Ovis aries: one gene and its partners. The protein of the gene in region 3 interacts with the protein of the main gene of each other region in a pairwise test. Links are inferred from orthologs where the notes say so. Each region holds a gene or a part of one and is shown on either strand. Other genes may lie near its edges. The genes, in order: PNRC2, RITA1 and DCP1A.

What was found.
Region 1: the proteins of DCP1A (region 3) and PNRC2 interact in binary tests that used the Homo sapiens proteins (3 or more experiments, as listed by UniProt). The link is inferred for Ovis aries from reciprocal best matches to the Homo sapiens genes DCP1A and PNRC2.
Region 2: the proteins of DCP1A (region 3) and RITA1 interact in binary tests that used the Homo sapiens proteins (3 or more experiments, as listed by UniProt). The two-hybrid records come from large-scale screens. The link is inferred for Ovis aries from reciprocal best matches to the Homo sapiens genes DCP1A and RITA1.

Annotation. Positions count from the first base shown.
Region 1 is NC_056055.1:242,691,086-242,698,557, reverse strand, and holds PNRC2 (proline-rich nuclear receptor coactivator 2), read left to right. Parts: upstream 1-2,585; 5' UTR 2,586-2,755; intron 2,756-3,515; 5' UTR 3,516-3,721; intron 3,722-4,436; 5' UTR 4,437-4,454; coding exon 4,455-4,874; 3' UTR 4,875-6,502; downstream 6,503-7,472. UniProt on the Homo sapiens protein: Involved in nonsense-mediated mRNA decay (NMD) by acting as a bridge between the mRNA decapping complex and the NMD machinery. May act by targeting the NMD machinery to the P-body and recruiting the decapping machinery to aberrant mRNAs.
Region 2 is NC_056070.1:61,267,289-61,274,433, forward strand, and holds the start of RITA1 (RBPJ-interacting and tubulin-associated protein 1), read left to right. Parts: upstream 1-3,010; 5' UTR 3,011-3,271; intron 3,272-3,444; exon of another isoform or gene 3,445-3,586; intron 3,587-4,234; 5' UTR 4,235-4,298; coding exon 4,299-4,600; intron 4,601-7,145. Other genes in the region: ATP-dependent RNA helicase DDX54, read right to left, coding at 102-231, 2,539-2,712. UniProt on the Homo sapiens protein: Tubulin-binding protein that acts as a negative regulator of Notch signaling pathway.
Region 3 is NC_056072.1:47,747,641-47,754,839, forward strand, and holds the start of DCP1A (mRNA-decapping enzyme 1A), read left to right. Parts: upstream 1-2,863; 5' UTR 2,864-2,873; coding exon 2,874-3,008; intron 3,009-5,608; coding exon 5,609-5,649; intron 5,650-7,199. UniProt on the Homo sapiens protein: Necessary for the degradation of mRNAs, both in normal mRNA turnover and in nonsense-mediated mRNA decay. Removes the 7-methyl guanine cap structure from mRNA molecules, yielding a 5'-phosphorylated mRNA fragment and 7m-GDP.

The DNA of each region.
Region 1 (7,472 bases), on a different chromosome or scaffold from region 3:
CGCATTGCAGGTGGATTCTTTACCAGCTGAGCTATCAGGGAAGCCCAAAATATCACCTACTCTATATTAATGTTTTGTCAACAAAACAGCTTAGCACAGGGCAGAGGGAGGCAGAATAGTATCCAATACATCATGTGTGTGTACACAAGCATCAAACACATTCAGTAGAGTTCAGTTGCTCAGTCACGTCTGACTCTGTGACCCCATTGACTGCAGCATGCTAGGCTTCCCTCTCCATCACCAACTCCCGGAGCTTGCTCAGACTCATGTCCATCAAGTCAGTGATGCTATCCAACCATCTCAGCCTCTGTCATCCCTCTCTTCCTGCCTTCAATCTTTCCCAGCATCAGAGTCTTTTCCATTGAGTCAGTTCTTCGAATCAGGTGGCCAAAGTATTGGCGTTTTAGCTTCAGCATCAGTCCTTCCAGTGAATATTCAGGACTGATTTCCTTTAGGATTGACTGGTTTGATCTCCTTGCTGTCCAAGGGACTCTCAAGAGTCTTCTCCAACACCATAGTTCAAAAGCATCAGTTCTTCGGCAATTCAGCTTTCTTTATAGTCGAACTCTCACATCCATACATGACTACTGGAAAAACCATAGCTTTGACTAGATGGACCTTTGTTGGCAAGGTAATGTCTCTGCTTTTTAATATGCTGTCTAAGTTGGTCATAGCTTTTCTTCTAAGCAGCAAGCTTCTTTTAAATTTCAGGGCTGCAGTCACCATCTGCATGATTTTGGAACCCCCCCAAATAAAGTCTCTCGAATACATTACAGGTGTGTTTATACAGATAAGGTCTGGAGGCTGATTTAATTTTATATTACAACTTGGGGCCAATACAGGTTTGTTTTTTTTTTTTAAGTAACACAATCAGATCCATGAGGGCAGAATGGAGGGAGAAGTAGGATTGTAGCAGGGATGAATTTAAAAGATATTTGGATGGTGATAATACAAAAAGAATTAGAAAAAGAAAGTGCTCAGACTAAAACAAGACTGTTCATTTTACAAAAAGTGTAAGTCACTCAGTCCTCTTTGGGACCCCATGGACTGTATAGTCCATGGACTTCTCCAGGCCAGAATCCTGGAGTGGGTAGCCTATTCCTTCTCCAGCAGTCCTTCCCAACCCAGGGATTGAATCCAGGTCTTCCGCATTGCAGGCAGATTCTTTACAAACTGAACCCCCAGGGAAGCCCAAACCACTATATTAAAAAAAATATTGCAATGGTCTTTTTAAAATACTGCTTAGCTGTAATCTAGCCGCATGTCTAAGTCAGTTTCTTAAGTTTTTAGGTAACAGATTACACTTTCAGTGAGGTAGCAGTTCCTTATTATATACATCTTATTTGACTATAATGCTTAGCAGCTGAAAGTCCCACGCTCAGAAATATCTCTTCTACTCTACACATTTCACCAAATTAATTTGATTAACAAACTCTTTTAAAATGGTTTTCTTAAGAAACTTAAGGTCCATGGGTAGAACAACATAGGAGTGGGGGATGATGGTAGCAGAAAAACTCAAGATTAAAAAACGAATTATGTGGGACTTACACAAAGTACACGTAAATCTTGTAACAAAAATGTTAATATGTTTGTAGAAACTGGTGTTCTCCTTTACAACGCCAGCTTTGGGTTGCTTATCCATTTACTCCAAAGAAGCTGCCCTTCTTCTCTTCCTGGCGCCTTGGTGGCACAATCAACCCCCTTTCACTTACAGACGGAGCCGAAAGGGGGAAATGAGAGAGCTCCATTTTCTCAAACTTTTCTCGGGCACTTAGCATGTGCACTTAGCCTGTGCTCTGGGCTCAAACGAGTGACTGGGTGGACAAGTAGCTACACTACAGTGTGACTCAAGTTCAGGACAAAAGAGGAACTGATTAACTCGATCCGCACAAGTGTCGGAAACGTCTTCACAGAGGAGACCACTTCTCAAGAATTTCGAGGCTGCGGGCAGGGAGGACAGGAGGGAACCACAAGCTGGGGGAGGGGCAAAGCAATTTCCTTGACAGGGGAACACAGTGTCAGGACCAAGTGGCCAAGGGTCGGCCTCGGGAAGCAACTTGGTGGAGCATCTTGCATCGTAAGAGACTGGTTACACGGCTAGGTGAACTTAACTCGGGAACTCAAAGCCCCCTTCGGTGACGCCCCACGGCAGGGAACCATCGGGTTCCAAGGGCCGCGGGACCCGCGAACCGGGCAGCCCCGGTGTAAGCCGCGATCCGGGGGAGCCGCTCACGTCCCTTCCCCGGCGCCGGACGCGCGCGCGGCTCGGAGTCGCCGTGAGGGGTTGGCGCTGACTGCGTCCTTGGGTACCGAGCCTGGCCGGGCGGGCGCCTCCCGGGAGAGGACAGTGTCACCCGGGCGCCCGCAGAGGGCCGGCCACCGGGACCGCGGCGGTTATTCCCGACATGCTCCTCTCGGGGAGGATTTCAAACCTTCGGCCACAGCCAACTCCCCTCCCTCGGCCCCGTCGGGCCCCAGCAACAGGCGGTGGCCCGCGTATCATTGGCCGGGTCGCGCGAAAGCGTGTTTTGATTGGCCGCAGCGCCTCCCGGCCCCGCTTCAGCGCTCGCCGCCGCCTCCATTTTGTCGGTAGAGACAGGAGGAGGAGGTCGGTTGAGACGTTGAGGTGGCCAGCCGCTCGCTCGTCGGTGCTCGTGGGCTTCGCCCGTTCCGTGCCTCGTCTCTCCCTGGAAGGGGAGGGGGGCTTCGAAGCCGAGCAGAAGCCGCCGCCGCCGCAGTCCCGGGCTTGAAGTCGGTGAGTGGCGGCGGCGCGACGGGTGCGGCCATGTTGGCGGCGGCGCTCCCTATTGTTGGGGGAAGGAGGCGAGATCCGAGGCTGGGGGGGCGCGGGCGGCCCGGAGGAGCGGGTTCCCGGGCCGGGCTCGAGGGACGCGGAGCGCCTGGGAAGCCCAACCTCGTTGCGGAAGACCCGAACTTTCCGGGCTCGCTTTGGGAATGACTCAGGGTCTGGAAACTTAAATTTCTTTAGGGCGTTGAAACAGTCTGGAAGGGCCTCTCACCCTTTCGATAAGAGCTTCTTGCTTGGTAACTTGGCTTCTTGGACTATCAAGTGGAATCGCAGATGTTTAATGTTTATAATAGTGATTGTTTTATGTATTTAAGATGGGAAACTGCTTGTTATGGCTTGTGAAACTTATTTTAAAACGGGGAGGAGTCAAGAGTTCATAACCAAAGGAAGCGCTGCGTGACGTAAACATGTTGGGAGAGGAGGCTCTGCTAAAACAGATACGTGATGTGTCTAAAGATTGTAAAATTCTGGTGGGACTTTAAAACACGGTCTTTAGGAAACAAATTTCTTAGCACATTTCTTAGCATGACTGTAGAGGCTAACGTTTCCATGGTTTTACAACATTTTGGTCACTAAATCCATGTGAGACATTATTTTCTGCCTTTTTGTTAAGTAGCCATTCTTTAAATTTTTTCTGGAGTAAATATAAACGATCACTTTCTCTGTTTTTTTAATTGAAATAATGAAGAAATCGTTGCTTTTGTAGCTAAGACTTCTCTCAAACTTGTGTGCTGAGGAGACTCAGATGTTGGCCTCAGCTCCTAGGCTGAACTCAGCAGATCGGCCCATGAAAACTTCTGTATTGAGACAAAGGAAAGGATCTGTCAGAAAGCAACATCTATTATCCTGGGCGTGGCAGCAAGGAAGAGGACAGGTAGTGGAAATCCTGCAATCGGAAAAGCAGACTGAAAGGTATTAAAAACTTACGGTTGTAATGGGGCAGACATTTTATGATGGACTCATTCTAAACCAGGATCTTCCCTGGTGGCTCAGACGGTAAAGCGTCTGCCTACAATGCTGGAGACCTGGGTTCAATCCCTAGGTCGGGAAGGTCTCCTGGAGAAGGAAATGGCAACCCATTCCAGTATTCTAGCCTGGAAAATCCCATGGACGGAGCAACCTGGTTAGGCTACAGTCCATGGGGTCACAAAGAGTCAGACACGACTGAGCGACTTCACTCACTCATTCTAAACTAGAGCTTCCCAGGGGACTCCATGATAAAGAATCCACCCGCCAATGCAGGAGGCCCGGGTTAGATCCCTGGGTCAGGAAGATCGCCTGGTGGAGGGAATGGAAACCCACTCCAGTGTTCTTTGCTGGAGAATTCCATGGACCGACAAGCCTGGCAGGCTTTTCCCATGGGATTGGAAAAGGTCGGATATGACTGAGCATGCACACGGGCACATCCTAAACAAATTGTTTTTAAATGCAGTATTATTTAGATTTGTTGGTAGACTCATTTTTTTCTTAGGAAGGTAATAAAGGCTGTACAAGTGTGAACGTATAGTAAAGCTAAAGCAGCTGAATAGCACATACGTGAGTCTTCTTCGAGATATTTGGAGTTGCAAATTGGGGCCACTGAAGTTTTGTACTGGAATTTCACTCAGTATTTTGTTTCCACTCACAGGTGACAAAGAAGCTGAAGATGGGTGGTGGAGAGAGGTATAACATTCCAGCCCCTCAAACTAGAAATGTTAGTAAGAACCAACAACAGCTTAGTAGACAGAAGACCAAGGATCAGAATTCCCAGATGAAGATTGTTCACAAGAAAAAGGAAAGAGGACATACTTATAATTCGTCATCAGCTGCATGGCAGGCCATGCAAAATGGGGGGAAGAACAAAAATTTTCCAAACAATCAAAACTGGAACTCTAGCTTATCAAGTCCCACCTTACTTTTTAAGTCTCAAACTAATCAGAACTATGCCGGGGCCAAGTTTAGTGAGCCACCATCACCAAGTGTTCTTCCTAAACCACCAAGCCACTGGGTTCCTGTCTCCTTTAATCCTTCTGATAAAGAAATAATGACATTTCAACTTAAAACCTTACTTAAAGTACAGGTATAAAATGAGATAAAGTACTAACATTTAAGCTTAGTCATATTTAAGGATAACTGGCAATTGTTTCAGACCAAATTCACTAGGGAATTAATCTGTAAAACTGATTAACATAGAAAATATAATTAGACTTCATCTTGTTTTATGTGCACTGTGATGGTAGGAATCAGTACAGTTTAAAATAACTGAATTATGGATAATTGTATTTGATCTCTTCACTAGTATTCTCAATTGAGTAACCATATAAGTGAAACCATTCAAGTTTAGATTTGGGGAATGGTAAAGGAATCAACTTTTTATATTGCTTGTTGGGGGAAAATACTGGAGATTATCATTTCATGGGTCAGCAGATTGACTTATTAAGATATGGTAAATCTGATTATAATCATCCAGTTAAAGACATACAGGGGTTGAAAACTATTTGAATCTTTGAGACGTTATTGTCCTAGAGACACCTGAATCAGTACACCTAAACCAGTAGTATGACAACCTGATGCACTGCCTAAAGAAAATGTGAAAAAAAATTTTTTTAAGAGAATAGTATTTTAATGAACTGTATGGTGGTGAATGTGTAAAGGGCACTAGGGGCTATTTAGAATGAAACAAGTATACCCCATTGGCCCTGTTATGTGCAGTGGATAGTGTCTGCCAACAAATGCACCAAAACCATTTTTTTAGAAACAGTATTTGGTGTTCAGAGTAGCTTTCAAAATACATTTTTGTATGATGGCACTGCACAAGCTATTCTGACAGTGTTATGGCTTTAAATCATCCCTGCAAAGGTTTTTTAAAGTTGAGAGCTGTATAATGTGAAAGTTCTGCATACCTAGGAAAGAGCCATGTAAATATATGTAGTAAAATTGTAGCATATGTAAAGTTTTGTTGGCATTTATCCTACAAAAATAGAATATTTTAGTACGAATTTGCTGAATGTAAGACATGGACTCTTATACTATGGCCTAATTTTAAAGGTCAAAAAACACCCCACAAACAAACCTGTTTTTAAATTTTGCCCTTGTGCTTAAGTGCCAGTGTATGTATATTATAATTGATCTTGCTGTAAACTATATTTCAACGTAAATCCTAGTGTAAGAAGTTTTATATAACCGAAAAGGTTTTAAGCTGCTAAAACACTTGCTATTTTTGAGATGTGAAATGCAGTATGGGGTAATTTTTTTTCCTTAAACCCAAAGATTAACTATTAAGCAGTCCCTCCAACCTTAAAGATTCCTTTTGGCTTTCAACAACTTGTGTAACCTATGAGTATAGTGTACAATGTCAGTGTATTTTTTTTTCCTTGTCAACAGGTGCAACCCAGGGGACCAACTTATTGCAAAAGATGTAATTTCTTGCATAATACCTTGATAACATGTTTTGCTTACTTTAAACATGCTAATTAAAACAGCCAACCCAGTAGTAAAAGTAAAGTGTGTGTATTAGGGGGGGGGTTATTCTAATTTGGCAGCTTTTTTAATACTTTTAAGCAGAATCGCTAAATTGTTTCTCCGAATAAATTGAGGTGAGATAGTACTGTCCAAGTCAAATGATGATATCCTAAAAACAAGTTTTATATAGTACTTAATGTACATACATGAATTCGAAGCATGAAATTAAAAAATAAAGTTGTTTCTTCCCCACTGGCTTGTGTTTATTGTATAGAAGTTGTTATGACTACCTATTTGCATAATTAACCCCACTGAAATACAACAGAACTATTGGTTTTTAAGAAGCAACCCATTTGCTGACAAAGACTTTTGGATTAACAACTATACATTAAAAAGGCAAATGACTTCCTCTTTACAGCAGGGCTAACAGTAAAAGGCCACAGAATATTTAAGGAACTTAAATAAAGCTTTTGAATTTATTTCATACTCAGTAAAGCAGGTTGAAGTGCCTAAGATGGCTTGGGTTTGTAGAAAAAAAAAAATTAGAATTATTCAAATTGACAGGAATATTTGTGTTACCTATTTGTTAACATAGTTTTCACAAGAGGGCCTTGGGGAAAAAAGAACTATAACCAGCTTTCTAATGCATTGCAAAAGACAGGGTAGCTTAAAGTAGTTCTAAGTTCCACACTAAGCAGGCTGCGATGCCCAGTGCCAGGCTGTGTTTTCTCATGCACTCTTCTGAGTCGTCACCTTTCTCCTGTGTCCCACTGTAATTTCCATGAGCGATAATGCAAACAACTGCCAAGTGCTCTTTTGTGCCCTGCTGGAATCCACTGGACTGAACAGTCCTTACCCCAGGCATTAAGTTAGGGTTTGACGTATACATACAAATATATATTCTAGATTTTTTGGCTTGGAATTGACTCGTGGTAAAAAATGTTCACTACCAAAATTTTAATAGCTAAGGGTAACTTTATACCTTTAGATACAAAGTTATGGTTAGCCTACAAGAAGTATGTTGACATCAATTTCCCAAATTGTTTTAAGAACCCAAAAGTTTAGAACTCATCTTGTAGGGCTGCGGTCAGTAAAAGCATGAGCCTTGTCAGTGTTATAATTTAAATATCATCTCTTTGATGGCAGCATATACAGTTCGATAGAATCTTCAGTCTATAACCTATCTTTACACTTAAGTTCTCTTCATCCCAGAAGCAAGCAC
Region 2 (7,145 bases), on a different chromosome or scaffold from region 3:
CCCAAGCCTACCACGGTGCAGAGTCTGGAACAGATCATGGAGGCCATGATGACCCCCTGTGGCTCCCCCCACCCAAGTTCCCAGATGCCTGGCTCACCCACCCATGGATTGGAAGCCTCCTGATTTCTTCTTCTTCTTGTTCTGAGCTCGCACCATCTCCCGTGTGTCTGGCTCCACGTCTGAGGTGCATTCCGAGGTGGGGAAAGTGGGTAGGGGTCTACCAGGTCCCAGCTGGGAGGGAGCAACAGAGAGGCAGCATCACTCCAGGTACAGTCAGACCACTGGGGGCAGGGAAGGAGGCTGTCCTGCTGCCAGGCCCCTCCAACTTGCCCTCATTCAAGGTGCTGATGCTCCTGTGAGATCACGTGACTTCTCTGCTAAAGGGCTCTCCTTTGACTGGACGAAGACAGGGCAGCGGGTCTGAGAGTAGGCTCTGCAGACAGACTGCCTGTGTTTCAGTCTCATCTCTGTCACTTGCAGCTGTGAGACCTCAGGCCTGGGACTTCCTCGCCCACAGCCTGTGTTCCCCAATCACGAAAACGGGGATGAAAAGAGCATATGCCTTACAGGGTGCTGGGAAGACCAAATGGGTATGTGTAAATCTTAGGACAGTGCCCAGATGGTGGCACCACCATCATTATCATCCAGACCAGTTATTCAGAGCCCTCAAAACTTTGGGAAGCCAATCGAAACATCTATTATGAATGAGGTACCAGACTTTTCCAGTCTGTCTTGCACCCGTCTCCCTCAGCCCCTTTCTGATCCATCACCCCTCCCCAGATCTGGTCTCTCTCATTCCTGGCTTCCTCTCTCTGCCACCCACTTGTTCTAGCACAATTAAAGCATACCCGGACACCTCCTCTGGGGAGCCTTCTTGGACTACAGCACTGTCTTCTTCCTCTCAGAAATAACATTTATAAAAATACTAACTCATAATAATGGCTAAAACTTATATGGCACTTACTATAAGCCAGGTGCTGTGCTGAGCGTTCATGTAAATTAATTCACTCCTCACAACAACACTGTCAAGCAGCTATTATTATTTAGCCTCTTTTACAGAGAAGGAAACTGACACACAGAGAGGTGAAGTGACCTGGCAAAGTCACACAGCCAGTAAGGGATATGAACCCTGGCCTCAGAGTCTATATTCCTTCCTATGTGCCCCTCTGCGGTCCAACACAACCCTCTAGGTCAGAGCTGCACCTGTCTTGTACAGTCCCCGAGATGAGAATGGTTTTTAAATCTTAAAAGATTGTAGCAAAATCAAAGAAGACAGTTGTATGACCTTATATGACCCTGCAAAGCCTAAACTAGTTACCATTTGGTCCTTTACAGGGAAAGTTTGCCAACCTACCCCTGCTCCAGACACATGATAACAAAGTGCCTTTTAACACACTGGTGCCCCAGCAACATTTACTGACGAGCAGAATGTCTGAACACTGTCATTCCTCCTTTCCACAGTGTTTGAGGCATACAGACTCAACTACTTTCTGCATGTGCAGAAGCTGAGGCACACACAGAGAGATTAAGCAATTTCTCCCATGTGTACTCCCCCACAGCCAGTACAAGGTGTTGAACACATGGCTGTGCCTTGGTCCCTAGTTATAGAGAACCTTCTGTGTGAGGCTCGGTTGAGATGGAATAAGGTCCCCATCTGGTCCCTACTTCTGAGGAGCAGAGAGGGCTCTCTTCATATAAACCCCCACTCATTCATCTATTATACCCAGAGTCTTCTCTGTGCCAGACACCCGCTAAGCACAAGGTTGTGAGAAACAACAGGCTATAGCTCTTTTGCTCCACTGGGGCTCACACCTGTTCCCCCTCCCCCCGCCCCCCCCCCATTTGCATACACTCAGCACTCAGTAGTGGAAATAGCACAGGGTCTGGAACCATACAGTCCTGGATTTGAATCCTGGCTCTCCCACTCACAAGCTATGAGGTTTTGGTAAAGTTCCTTCACCCCTCCAGGCTTCTGTTTCCTTCTCTGGAAAATGAGGATAAGCACTCAGCTCGCAGGGTTGATGTGGTGATTAAATGATAAGGCTTATAAAGGCTTTTAGCACGGAGCCTGCACACAGTAAGTGATCAATAGACGCGAGTTTAACTTATTATTAGTTTCCCAGAGGTTTGGGGGCGTCGCTGTCTCAAAGCCACGAGGTGCAGCCTTCTCCTAATTTGTCTGCCGAAGAACCCCCAAACTCTCAAAAGTCCAATGTTCAGCACCCGCACTTTTCATTGGGCGAATGGAAACCAGGACCCGCCCTCGATGGCCAGGAAGAAGCCAATGAGAAGCGCTAGACCAAGCGTCAGCCAGGAAGGCCCGCAGGCCCCGAGCTTACCCAACACAGAGGCTTCGGGAGTCTAGACCCCAGGTGTGGAGGGTCCTGGGACACGTGCTCAGGCCGGAGGTCCTGCCTTGATCCCCCGGCCAGCCGATCTCTCCCCATCCTCAGCCGTGCCCGCTCCCCAGCTGGGGGAACTGCCGGGCACCGCGCGGAGCTCGGGTTCCGACGTGTATCCCAGCCCTGCGCTCCCTACCTTCTGGGCCCGGGCGTCATCTTCTGCCTGGATCTCAAACTCGCCGTCCTCCGAGTCGCTGCTGCGGGACTGGGACGCCGCACCCCGGCGCTTCCGGAGCCCCTTCTTCTTCTTCCACTGGGCCATGGTAGCTCCGGACCGCGGGGCGGCCGCCGGGCGCGTGCCGGCAGCCATGCGGGCCCCGGCGCCGGGAAATGGGAGGGGGCGGAGCCCATAGGGACATACCAACAGCGCGGCGGGGGCACGGGGGACGCCTCCACGCGGCCCCGGCTGCGTTCCTGCTCCTTCTGCTGCCTCCAGGGGCTTGATCCACATGCACACACACACACTCCCCTCGCTGGCGCGGAAGGTACCCCTTCCGAAGCTTTGGGGAACTCCGGGGGGCGTCCGGAATCGGGGGCCTTAACTCACCCCCGAGGAGTAAATGGTTCCGGCCGCCCCGCCCCATCCTGTCACTCACGGGTTGCTGTTTGACGCGCGTCCGCGCGCGCGGAACACACGTCGCTAGGGCCCGGCTGCCAGCTCTGAGTCGTTCCGCCCCGTACCCCGGTCTGGGGTTGGAGCTGGGGGCGGCCTTGGAACTTCCCGGAGTCGCGGGCTCCCGGGATTCAGAGCTGCCGATTCGGATGTCCGGCGCGCGCCTCCGATGCCCGAGCGCCCCACAAAGGAGTCCAGGCCTGGGAGCAGGGGACGCTGACGGTAACGACCGACGTCAGCGAACCAAGATGCTCAGGTAGGAAAATAACTCGATAATGCGGGCACATCGGACATCTCCGGGACGTGGACTTGGGGATCAGTGAATGAGGGGCAGCTGGAGGACTGGGTGTGATCCCCTAGTAGGGGAATGGTTAAGTGCAGGAGCTTTAGACCCTTAATCAGGTTCAAATTCAATTTCCACTGTTTTAGCTTTATAGGTGTGACTGACACTTGCAACTTCACCTTTTGAAGCCTTAGTTTTGTCATCTATAGAATGAACATAATGGAAGCTACCTCACAGGAGTGTTGAGAGGATGAAATGAGACAATGCTTGTAAAGCTCTTTGCAGGAGGTAGGCTTGGGATCGATCAATGCTGGTTATTATTTCTGCCCGATAAATATGTACAAGATATAGAAACCTGCCCTGTTTCCCCCATTCCTCATCAGCATAGTTGATTTTCTGTGTGGTGCCAGAATAGGCAGAGGCCCAAATCTCTTGTTCATTCCCCTAGTGTTCTATAAATATTGACTGAACACACACCAGTATGCTAGGAATGCGCATTTACTCATTAAATATTCATCTGTAGCACCCCTGTCCCCGTGATTTCTGTGTGCTCACTCACTCAGTCGTGCCTAACTCTGCGAATCCATGGACTGTAGCCCGCCAGGTTCCTCTGTCCATGGGGATTCTCCAGGCAAAAATACTGGAGTGGGTTGCCATGTCCTCCTCCAGGGGATCTTCCCAACTCAGGGATCAAACCCAGGTCTCCCACATTGCAGGTGGATTCTTTACCATCTGAGCCACCAGGGACGCCCACCCCTTCATTACAACAACTCAAAAAATGTCAAATTTCTGAAATGTTCCCTGGGATTGGCAGCTCCCCTTTGAGGAAGACTGGTTGAGGGAGAATGTGACCTTTTTGCCCTGGGGATGGGCCCTTAAAGTGATTGCCAGTCTTTTCTGATGACAGATGGTTGCTACCCTGACCCCTTTTCACAGGGAGCCCTGGATGTAGGGCCTGGCAAGCAGAGCACCCCTGCTGTCACTCAGGACAACAGAGAGCATGAAGACCCCGGTGGAGATGGCCATCAGCGGGATGCAGACCCTCCACGTTCAGCACCGTGGCCGGAGTGGCTACCGGGTCAAGGTTAGGCCATCATACGTGGATGAGACTTTGTTTGGCAGCCCTGCAGGCACCCGGCCCGCACCACCAGACTTTGACCCACCGTGGATGAAGAAGGCCAACAGACCCAGAGGAGTGGGGACAGGGGTGTCTCAGGCCTTGGGGGCCAATGGGAGCTGTGAGTCCACCTCCTCCAGTGGCAGCACCCCAACCCTCACACCAAGGAAGAAGAACAAATACAGGTAATAGGATAGGAAGATTCCCTGCCATTCATCTGCTGTGTGACCTTGGGCGAGCAATTTGACCTCTCTGAGCCCGTTTCCTCACAGTGGAAGGTGGGACCCAGTGGGATTATTGAGAAGACTTAAGGGGATGAGACATGTACAGTGGTTGGCACAGTTACCCGACACTCAGGAATAAATAAATGGTAATGGCATTAGACTGGACTTCTGAGGCCCAGAGGGGTGAGGTGATTTGTCCAACAGAGAGAGAGAGTGTTGGTCGCTCAGTTGTGTCCAACTCTTTGCTACCCCATATACTGTAGCCTGCCAGGCTTCTCTGTCTGTGGAGTTTTCCAGGCAGGAATAGTGGAATGGGTTGCCATTTCCTTCTCCAGGGGATCTTTCCAAACCAGGTATTGAACCTGGCTCTGCTGTACTGCAGGAGGATTCTTTACCTTCTGAGCCACCAGGGAAGCCCTTGATTTATCCAAAGTCACAGAACAGTTTGCATAAGATTATTAGTGTGGTTGATCCATCAAATGACATAGATATGGTGATTCCAAACTGAAGCAAGTCATTTTGAAAATGGTTCTTGCTTCATTTTCACCAACAAGTTAGAAAAATGGAATCTAATGCCAGTGGTTATTTTTGTAGGGATTATTTAGACTATTTCAATGAATTTCAGCCTCGAGGGAGGCCACAGGACTCTATCTTATTGATTGTCATCAGTGTCTTGAACAGAGATATGGAAGACTAATATATTAGTCAATCAGGTTTGTTATATATAACAAAATACTATAGACTTAAACAGCATAAGTTTGATTTTCCACAGTTATGGAGGCTTAAAGTCCAAGGTCAAGATGCCAGCAGGGTTGGTTTCTCCTGAAGCCTGTCCTTGGGTTGCAGATGGCCAGCTATTCCCTGGGTCCTCACATGGACTTTTCTCTGAGTGTGTACACTCTTGGTGCCTCTTCCTCTTCTTATAAGGACACAAATCCTATTGGATTAGAGCCTCACCTTTGTGGCCTCGCTTGTGTGTGTGTTAGTCATTCAGTCGTGTCCAGCTCTTTGCGACCCCATGGACTGTAGCCTGCCCGGCTCCTCTGTCCATGGAATTCTCCAGGCAAGAGGACTGGAGTGGGTTGCTATTCCCTCCTCCAGGGGATCTTCCTGACCCAGGGATCAAACCCAAGTCTCCTGCATTGCAGGCAGATTCTTTACCACTGAGTCACCAGGGAAGCCCATGGCCTCATTTAACCTTAATTTAATTCAACACAAATCTTGGGAGGAAGCAATTCAGTCCTTAATAACTAGCCAGTCCTATTTGGGATCTATTCTGAGCCAAAAGGCACATCACTAATTGAGAGTGGGAATAGTGCCTATTTAAGGAGATAAAATTGAACAGAGATAAAAGCAAGGCCCCATTATTGTCATGTCTACTTGACAGTTCCCATGGAGCACAGGGCAGGCTCAGGTTGACATAGCAGCACTGACATCTACAACGTGGCTGAAAGTGCTGAGTTCACTGTAGGCTGCATTAACAGAAGTCCATGACAGGAAGGCAACAGTCAACCTCATGCTCTCCTGGAGGTTGGAACTTTGTGCTGGATGCTGACAGGTAGAGGCTGTCAAGTTAGAAGGTACATAAGAGGTAGAGATGCTATTAAGCAGAAACTTTGGAACCAGACAGACGTAGGTATCAACCAGATCTGGGTTTGAACAGCCAAATCAAGTGGCCAAAATGTTGACTTTTCAAAGACTTGAAGTTTGGGAATGGGGAGCACTTTTAGTTCTGGCTGAAAGTCATGGACCTCACACCTCATAGATATGCCATGAACATTTGTGAGATTAATTTAAAAAAAAATGCTGAATGAATCTAGTTAAAAGTGAGAGGCCTTGAAGGCATTTAAGTCTGGCTTAGTGATCAGGAACTTGAGCCCTTGAGTGGGGGCCTGGATTTGAATCTTATCTATACCTTCCTTGTTATCCTCCCTGTGCCTCTGTTTTCTTGTCTATAAAATGGGATTATCATATTGCCGTCCTGTGGGTTTTGTGAGAAATAATGAGATAACACAGGTGACAAGCTGAGTCCTGGGCCTATACATGAAAAACCCTGAGTAAATATTCAAAAATTTTAAAAGCTACTCTGGTGGTATGGCCAGGTCACAGCACCCTCTACATGCCGGGTTCTTGGCTGTGCAGTTTCAGAAACAGTTAGAAGGGCCACATGACTGCAGACGGTTCGGCTGACAGGGCCACTAGGAAAAGGGTGAAGTGGTGAGTTAAAAGAAAAAGTGAACGCTCTGAAGACTAAGGTTATATTAATGTTGGTTGCAAATAACATAAGGATTGGGCTTGCAAACAAGCTAAACGCGCCTCAGCAGACAAAGGACATTTGGGGCTCATATAACAGGGGCTCAAAATGTTGTTGGGATTCTTTCTCACACACATTCCAGGTGAGATGGCCACCAGCTCTTTTGCCCTTATATCCTTCCTGCCTGTTCTTCAGCACTCAGTGGAAGAAAGACATCTCTCTCCTAGTAGTTAACGCAAAGATTCTAAGGGA
Region 3 (7,199 bases):
GAAGGTAGTGGGAGATGTAAGGCTCTCTCTCCAATACGAAGAAAGGCAGGCACAGCATGGAGAAAAGGACCCTGGCGCGGCCTAGTCCCTGGATTCTAACACCAGATCCCCCTGACTAGTGTGGAACAACGAGCCAGTGACGTCTCCACCCAGCTTCAATTAAGCAACCATCAAATGAGGATGAGCATATCACTACCACTTAGACTGTGATATGAATGGGAGTCTTTTCCTGTCCTTCCCGATGAACTCATACTTATTCCTGAAACACTAATTCAAACATCATCTCCTCCATCAAGCCTTCCAATACTCTTTTGACAGATGAAGTTCCTGGCTCCATCCCCTAGGTGTCAAGTGAGACATCTCTAGCGTTGCCCCTACTTCTTTCAGTTTCTCCCAGAACCAGAAAATTGTCTTAGACTTTGAAGCTTCCCAAGGGACTCAGTGCAGTTCAGTCACTCAGTTGTGTCTGACTCTTTGCAACCACATGGACTGAAGCACCCCAGGCTTCCTTGACCATCACCAACTCCCTAGAGATTACTTAAACTCATGTTCATGGAGTTGGTGATGCCATCCAACCATCTCATCCTCTCATCTCATCCCCTTCTCCTCCTGCCTTCAATCTTTCCCAGGATCAGGGTCTTTTCCAATGAGTCAGTTCTTTGCATCCTAAGCGGATACCTGTTCAAAGCAGGAGGTCAATAAATATTTGCTATGGAGAAGGGCAACCTGACTTCCCTCTTAAGAAATCAGTATGCAGGTCAGGAAGCAACAGTTAGAACTGGACATGGAACAACAGACTGGTTCCAAATAGAAAAAGGAGTATGTCAAGGCTGTATATTGTCACCCTGCTTATTTAACTTCTATGCAGAGTACATCAAGAAAAACGCTGGGCTGGAGGAATCACAAGCTGGAATCAAGATTGCCGGGAGACATCAATAACCTCAGATATGCAGATGATACCACCCTTACGGCAGAAAGTGAAGAACTAAGAAGCCTCTTGATGAAAGTGAAAGAGGAGAGGGGAAAAAGTTGGCTTAAAGCTCAACATTCAGAAAACTAAGATCATAGCATCTGGTCCCATCATTTCATTGCAAATAGATGGGGAAACAGTGGCTGACTTTATGTTTCTGGGCTCCAAAATCACTGTAGATGGTGATTGCAGCCATGAAATTAAAAGATGCTTACTCCTTAGAGGGAAAGTTATGACCAAACTAGACAGCATATTAAAAAGCAGAGACATTACTTTGTCAACAAAGGTCTGTTTAGTTTTCCAGTAGTCATGTATCAATGTGAGAGTTGAACTATAGAGAAAGCTGAGTGCCGAAGAATTGATACTTTTGAAATGAGAAGTCTCTTGAGAGTCCCTTGGACTGCAAGGAGATCCAACCAGTCTATCCTGGGGGAGATCATTCCTGAGTGTTCATTGGAAGGACTGATGTTGAAGCTGAAACTCCAACACTTTGGCCACCTGTTGCAAAGAGCTGACTCATTTGAAAAGACCCTGATGCTAGAAAAGACTGAGGGCAGGAGGAGAAGGGGAGGACAGAGGATGAGATGGTTGGATGGCATCACGGACTCAATGGACATGAGTTTGGGTAAACTCTCGAAGCTGGTGATGGACACGAAGGCCTGGCGTGCTTCTGTTCATGGGCACAGAATTGTACACGACTGAGCGACTGAACTGAACTGATGGAGAAGGGAATGGCAATCCACTCCAGTATTCTTGCCTGGAGAATGCAATGGACAGACCAGCCTGGTGGGCTATAGTCCATGGGATTACAAAGAGTCAGATACGGCTGAGCTACTAACAAAAATACTTGCTAAAGAAACAGTAAATGAATATGTTTCCTTTTCTGCATTTGTACATGTAACGTGATTCTGCCAACAATGTAAAACATTAAGTATCTTTCCGATAACGACCTCGGGATGTAAAATCATAAACAATACAACTATTAGAGTCAATAGTATTTTTCAGTCAAAAAAAATTCAACCTGCACCCCGTGCACTGGAAGGGTGGAGTCAACCACTGGGCCGCCACAGACACCTCTCGGTTATCTTTTCAGTATAAGAAAAGGTTTTTTATAACAAATCGGGGGAGGGGCGGGGGAAGGGGCAGAGCTCCCTTTATCTTCCACACCTTGTTTTACTCTTTAGCTAGTAACTGGCTCTTTTAAAATGCCTTAAAATATTAAGCAGATGTTTGCTAAAAGGATGAGTTACCGTTTTAAAGCTTTAAATGATGCACGGCAAACAACTTTTCAAGGGTTCTTTCCAAAACTGGATAAAGATTTTCGTGGGATTCAGAGGAAGAAAATAAGTTGACAATAAAAGACATTTCTGTGTAATTACAGACAGGCTAGTCTGGCTTTTTCAAAAACTTCCTTTATAAAAACACAAATAGATCTGAGATCTGGGGTACTTTCCGAGGTACCCCACCCCCACCCCGTTTCTCCCCGCTTTTCTGTTTTCTAAATCGCCCCTGGAGCCCTGCCTTGACGCAGCTAGGTTTCCAGTCTGCGGCCACGGGAAACTAATCCGGCAGGAACGGTGAGAAAGCTCCAGAGCAGCCTTGTTCAGAGCGCCGGTACCTTTCAGCCCGCGGAAAAGAAGAACCTGCGCCCAGGCCTTTCTGCTCCGCCACGCGGCGGCGGACCCCACCTCGAACCTTAGTCCACTGGGACCTGACGACACCGGAACCCGGTGCCCCGGGCGTAGGTTCAGCGGAGCATAATAGCTGCAGTACCGCCCGGCCGCGAGGCCCGGTGGAGAGGCGGAAATTGAGGGCGCTGACGCAGCTGGGGGAACTTTGCCTCCATGGCACCTTCCTGTCCTCGACTCCGCCCCGCCAGAGGGGCTCGGCTCCAGAATTCAAGATGGAGTCGCTGAGTCGAGCTGGGCAAGAGATGAGCCTAGCAGCCCTGAAGCAACACGACCCCTACATCACCAGCATCGCAGACCTCACGGGCCAGGTCGCACTGTACACCTTCTGCCCCAAGGCCAACCAGTGGGTGAGTGCAGCCAGGTGGCTGAAGTCGCTCTCCCGGCCGCCGTCTCTTAAAGGGGCCGCGCCGACCGACCTGGGTAGGGGGCGATGCGGGAGGCCACGGTGGCGGAGGCGAGGCCAGGGACTGGAGGAGAGCCTGGCCGGCGCCTGAGAGGTGTCGGCGCCGCTGGGGATTGGGTGAGAGGAGAGAGGGAAGTAGGTCCAAACATCCGGGGGGAACGCTGATAGAGGGGAGGGTTGAAGAAGGATTAGTCCCCAGGGGTCCAGTTCGAGGATGTGGGCGACCTGCCTTCTTTGCAGGTGTGTTGGAGGATTTGAGACCGATGGAGTCAGAAAGACGCCTGTAAGATTGTCTGAAGCTTTGAGAGTTGTTAGATAAATTATGTATACATAATCTATAAAGTAAACACTCCTCTCCCCCCAACAGATAGATAAATCAGAACCCCCTTCGCAGAGGTTATTAGGATTTAAAGCTTGAATTCCAATTAGTTTCAGTTCTTGGAAAGGCGAGAGGGTGGGGATACGTCCCGCATTTATCAAACTACACTGTGTTTCCAGAGTTTGGAAAAGATTTCAAGGCACTTAGGAAAAGGGCTTGCATGTTAATTTTGTTACCTTGAAACCTTTGGACAAGAGACCTCGTGTTTTCAGCTATGCTGCTGGTGATGTCACCTCTGAATACGCGCATCAGACTTAAGTACTTTTTGCCTTTTTTTGCACGAGAGAGGTTGCGAAAAGTTACATTCAGTTAGTTCACTGATTTGTTAGCCGCTTTGAAGCTTCGGTTGTTGTTTACATGTCAGAATTTCGAGACTTCCCTGGCGATCCAGTGGTTAGAACTCCCCGCTTCAACTGCAGGGGGCAAGAGTTCGATCCTTAGTCGGAGAACTAAGATCTAACAAGCCACGCAAGTGGCTAAATAAAATATAAATAAACGTAACATCATTTCCCTTAAAAATATGAATCTTCTTGATTAACTCATTTAGCTATATAGGCTTTATTTTAAAAATAGTCTGTAAATGTTTGTTGGATTGAATTAATAAATGATTCACATTCACGTTTCAATAAGAATTGAAGTCCTTGTACTAACAAAACAAAGATTATTATCATAATATATTCTTTACAACATAATGCAGATACATGGGTTATATTTAATCATTAATTTTGTGAAAAATCATTTCGCATTTATAAACAGTTAAATCAGATGCAGAGGGTTTTCAGAGTCATCTTGCTTTACTTTGTATCGTCTTTCCTTCACCTCCTGGAATAGGAGGAGGTATGGCAAGCCACACAGAACAAAATTATAGATTTTTTCTTTTAAGTGTGACTGTTTTAGTAGATATTGCTTTAGTTTAAATTGTTTTGGACCATTTTTCTTTTCTTGCTGTGCATATACATTTTTGGAGTGTGGATTGCAGACAAATGGTGAATATTTGGGGCATGGGCTTATTACTATAAGCTTTTATTTCTAGTTTGTCACAGACTTCCAATATTTTGGAATTTTAATTGTGCCATTCTTCTTTAAATACAAGCTGAATGAAATACAAGCTGAAATAACCTGAATTGAAAACTAAGCTGCCGTTATTCATTTGTATCATGGCAGTGATTTGTAACTTTACACAGTTGTTTATTTGGGTAAATTTTCTTTCATTGTGAAGCAATTGATTACCAATTTATTATATTAATAAAGTTTGAAAGGCAAGAAATACATAAGGAAAAATTCCATGATAATGTTTAAGTTAGAAATCAAGATGGTAAATATCTTTTAAAGTTCTTTTTTTCATCCCACCAAATTCAATTCTATATGACTAACATTTAAGTTTGTTAATAGTTTGCTGACTGCATTAAACTGTTTAGATCCTATCTGGCCTGTGAATTGTAGACTAATTTAAAAAAAAAAACAAAACATTTTAACGGTTTAAAACCTAAATACACTCTTGTCACAGCAAATGAAAGATGATGAGTTGTACTTTTTTAATCAAAACGTTTACTTTAAGCGAAAAAAAAGTTTTAAATTATTTGTAAGACCTATACAAATTATACTAAGTAGAATTTCAGTACTCATGATTCTTCAACAAAGGTCTAAGAGTAACAAACTAATTGTGTTTGACAGTAGTTCTTAACTAACTACAAAATTTGCTACTCAGGAAAATATGCCGGAATCTCCCAAATGATGAAACAGTGTCCTGTAAGATAAAATTTCTTTTTTTTCTCCTACTAACTTTGATAAACTTTAAAGGTGAAGTAATGACTGTATACAGACTTTGGCTTTAAAATTAAGAAATTTGGCTAAAACATTTTAGTTTTAAAAAATGAAAGCTAATTCTAGATTTTTTTCTCCTTTAAATTTTAAAAAAGAAAAGAAAAGTTACTGTAGATACAGGCATGTTGCTGGATAGAACATTGCATATCAATTAACATGCATCAATAGACTAAAAAGGATACAAAAGAAACTGGTAACAGTAGTTTGTAGAGAGAAGCTTGACCTGTTCAGAGTAATTAATTTTAAAATAAATAAGTTAATCTTAAACATGACGTCTCCACTGGGACAACTTGGGGTTAGATTATGGGGGAAAAAACTAATTGACTCATTGTCTGTTACAGGAGAAGACCGATATAGAAGGGACCTTATTTGTATATCGAAGGTAAGCTTTTTAAAAACTTATTATTTTTTTAATTTGATGGTGAACATTGTCATGTAGAGTGATTCAGCCCTATTGTATTGTCTTTGGAACTTCCTGCTTGACCCTTCCAAGTATTCATCCATCTCTTGCTGTGAAATCTTAACCAAGTAATGTCCCTTCTTTGATAGTTCCTATGATTCAGAATCAAACAGAACTTATTTAGGAACCTAGCAAAATAGAAAACATTTTGTAGTAATGAATGAATCTAAAACAGATGCCTTTTTCCTTTTCCCCATATTAGGAAAACAGATACGTAACTGAGAAAAATATAATACAGGAGCTAACTATTCTGTGATTACTGAACTAAAAGGTTATCTTCTAAGACTCTGGTTCTTTCCCCATTCCAGCTACCCAAAAGTTTTGAGTTGTGTACAGTGTCTAGTAATAGGTATTTTTAGTTTGAGAGTCCTTTAGAAAGCCTGGACTACTCATAACTGCACATTTTTAACTTTCAACTTTTCTGAGAATTAATTGTCGTAAACATGATTGGTTTGTGAATTGCAGGTTTGGTTTTGTTTGGCAACTTTCTTGGCCTAAAGGCAATTGACAAGGGTATGTTAGTCATTGAAGTTTCTTGTTTTCCTGGATCCCTCTTAACTCTCACTCTGATTGAGATAGATGCCTTTTCTTGTTTTTTAAAGCTTAGGAAACTCAGCAGGATTACTGATACCTGGTTCTTTTCGTGTGTGTGTGTGTGTGTGTGTGTGTGTGTGTGGTAAATTATTTATGGATTGTAACAAGAATTTGTCAAATATTCTTCTAAATTGTCTTGTGTACCTTTGAGATCTTGTCTAAAAAACACTGATTTTTTTCTTCCTTTTAAGTGCTTTTATGTTACTCTTTCTTGTTGACATTTTGTTCCCTGTTACTCATCTTTCTCCTTTTTAAAAAAAAAAGACCTTTATCTTTTACCTGGTAATATTCATTACCAATATAAATCTCTAGAAGCTCTTCAACTGTTATTAGAACCTTGGTACTTGGGAAGCACTTTCCTGGCTTTATTGTAACAGTGTAGATTCACCAATTACAGAAAATGAAATTTAGTTTAGTGACTGACTTGATTTAATAAAATTTTTGGAAGCTTCCACTTGTATTGATTCCAATAAAAGGAGACCAGAGAGACTCTATTTGGGAAATGTGAGAACATGTTATGGATGAAATGGATAAATATATACCAGGTGTCAGAATGTCCCTTTGGAGAGACCTTAGCATAGAAGAAGCATGGATTTGGAATCAGAAAACCTAAAAGCTGAATCCTGGTTATTATTTGTGTGACTTTGGGTGCAGGCCTGAATCATCCTAAGCTTGTTTCCTAATCTGTATAATAGAATTCTAAAACCTTTCCCATGTACACAGAGAAATACTTCATATACAAATGAGAAGTACCTAAAGGATTGTGTGCTGGATCACTCTGACATGGGAACCAAAGATGTTTCTTGTAGGATTCGAAACATTTTCTTACTTGCTCAAGTCTTTCCATAGCTCTCCCATTTGATACAAGCAAAATCATT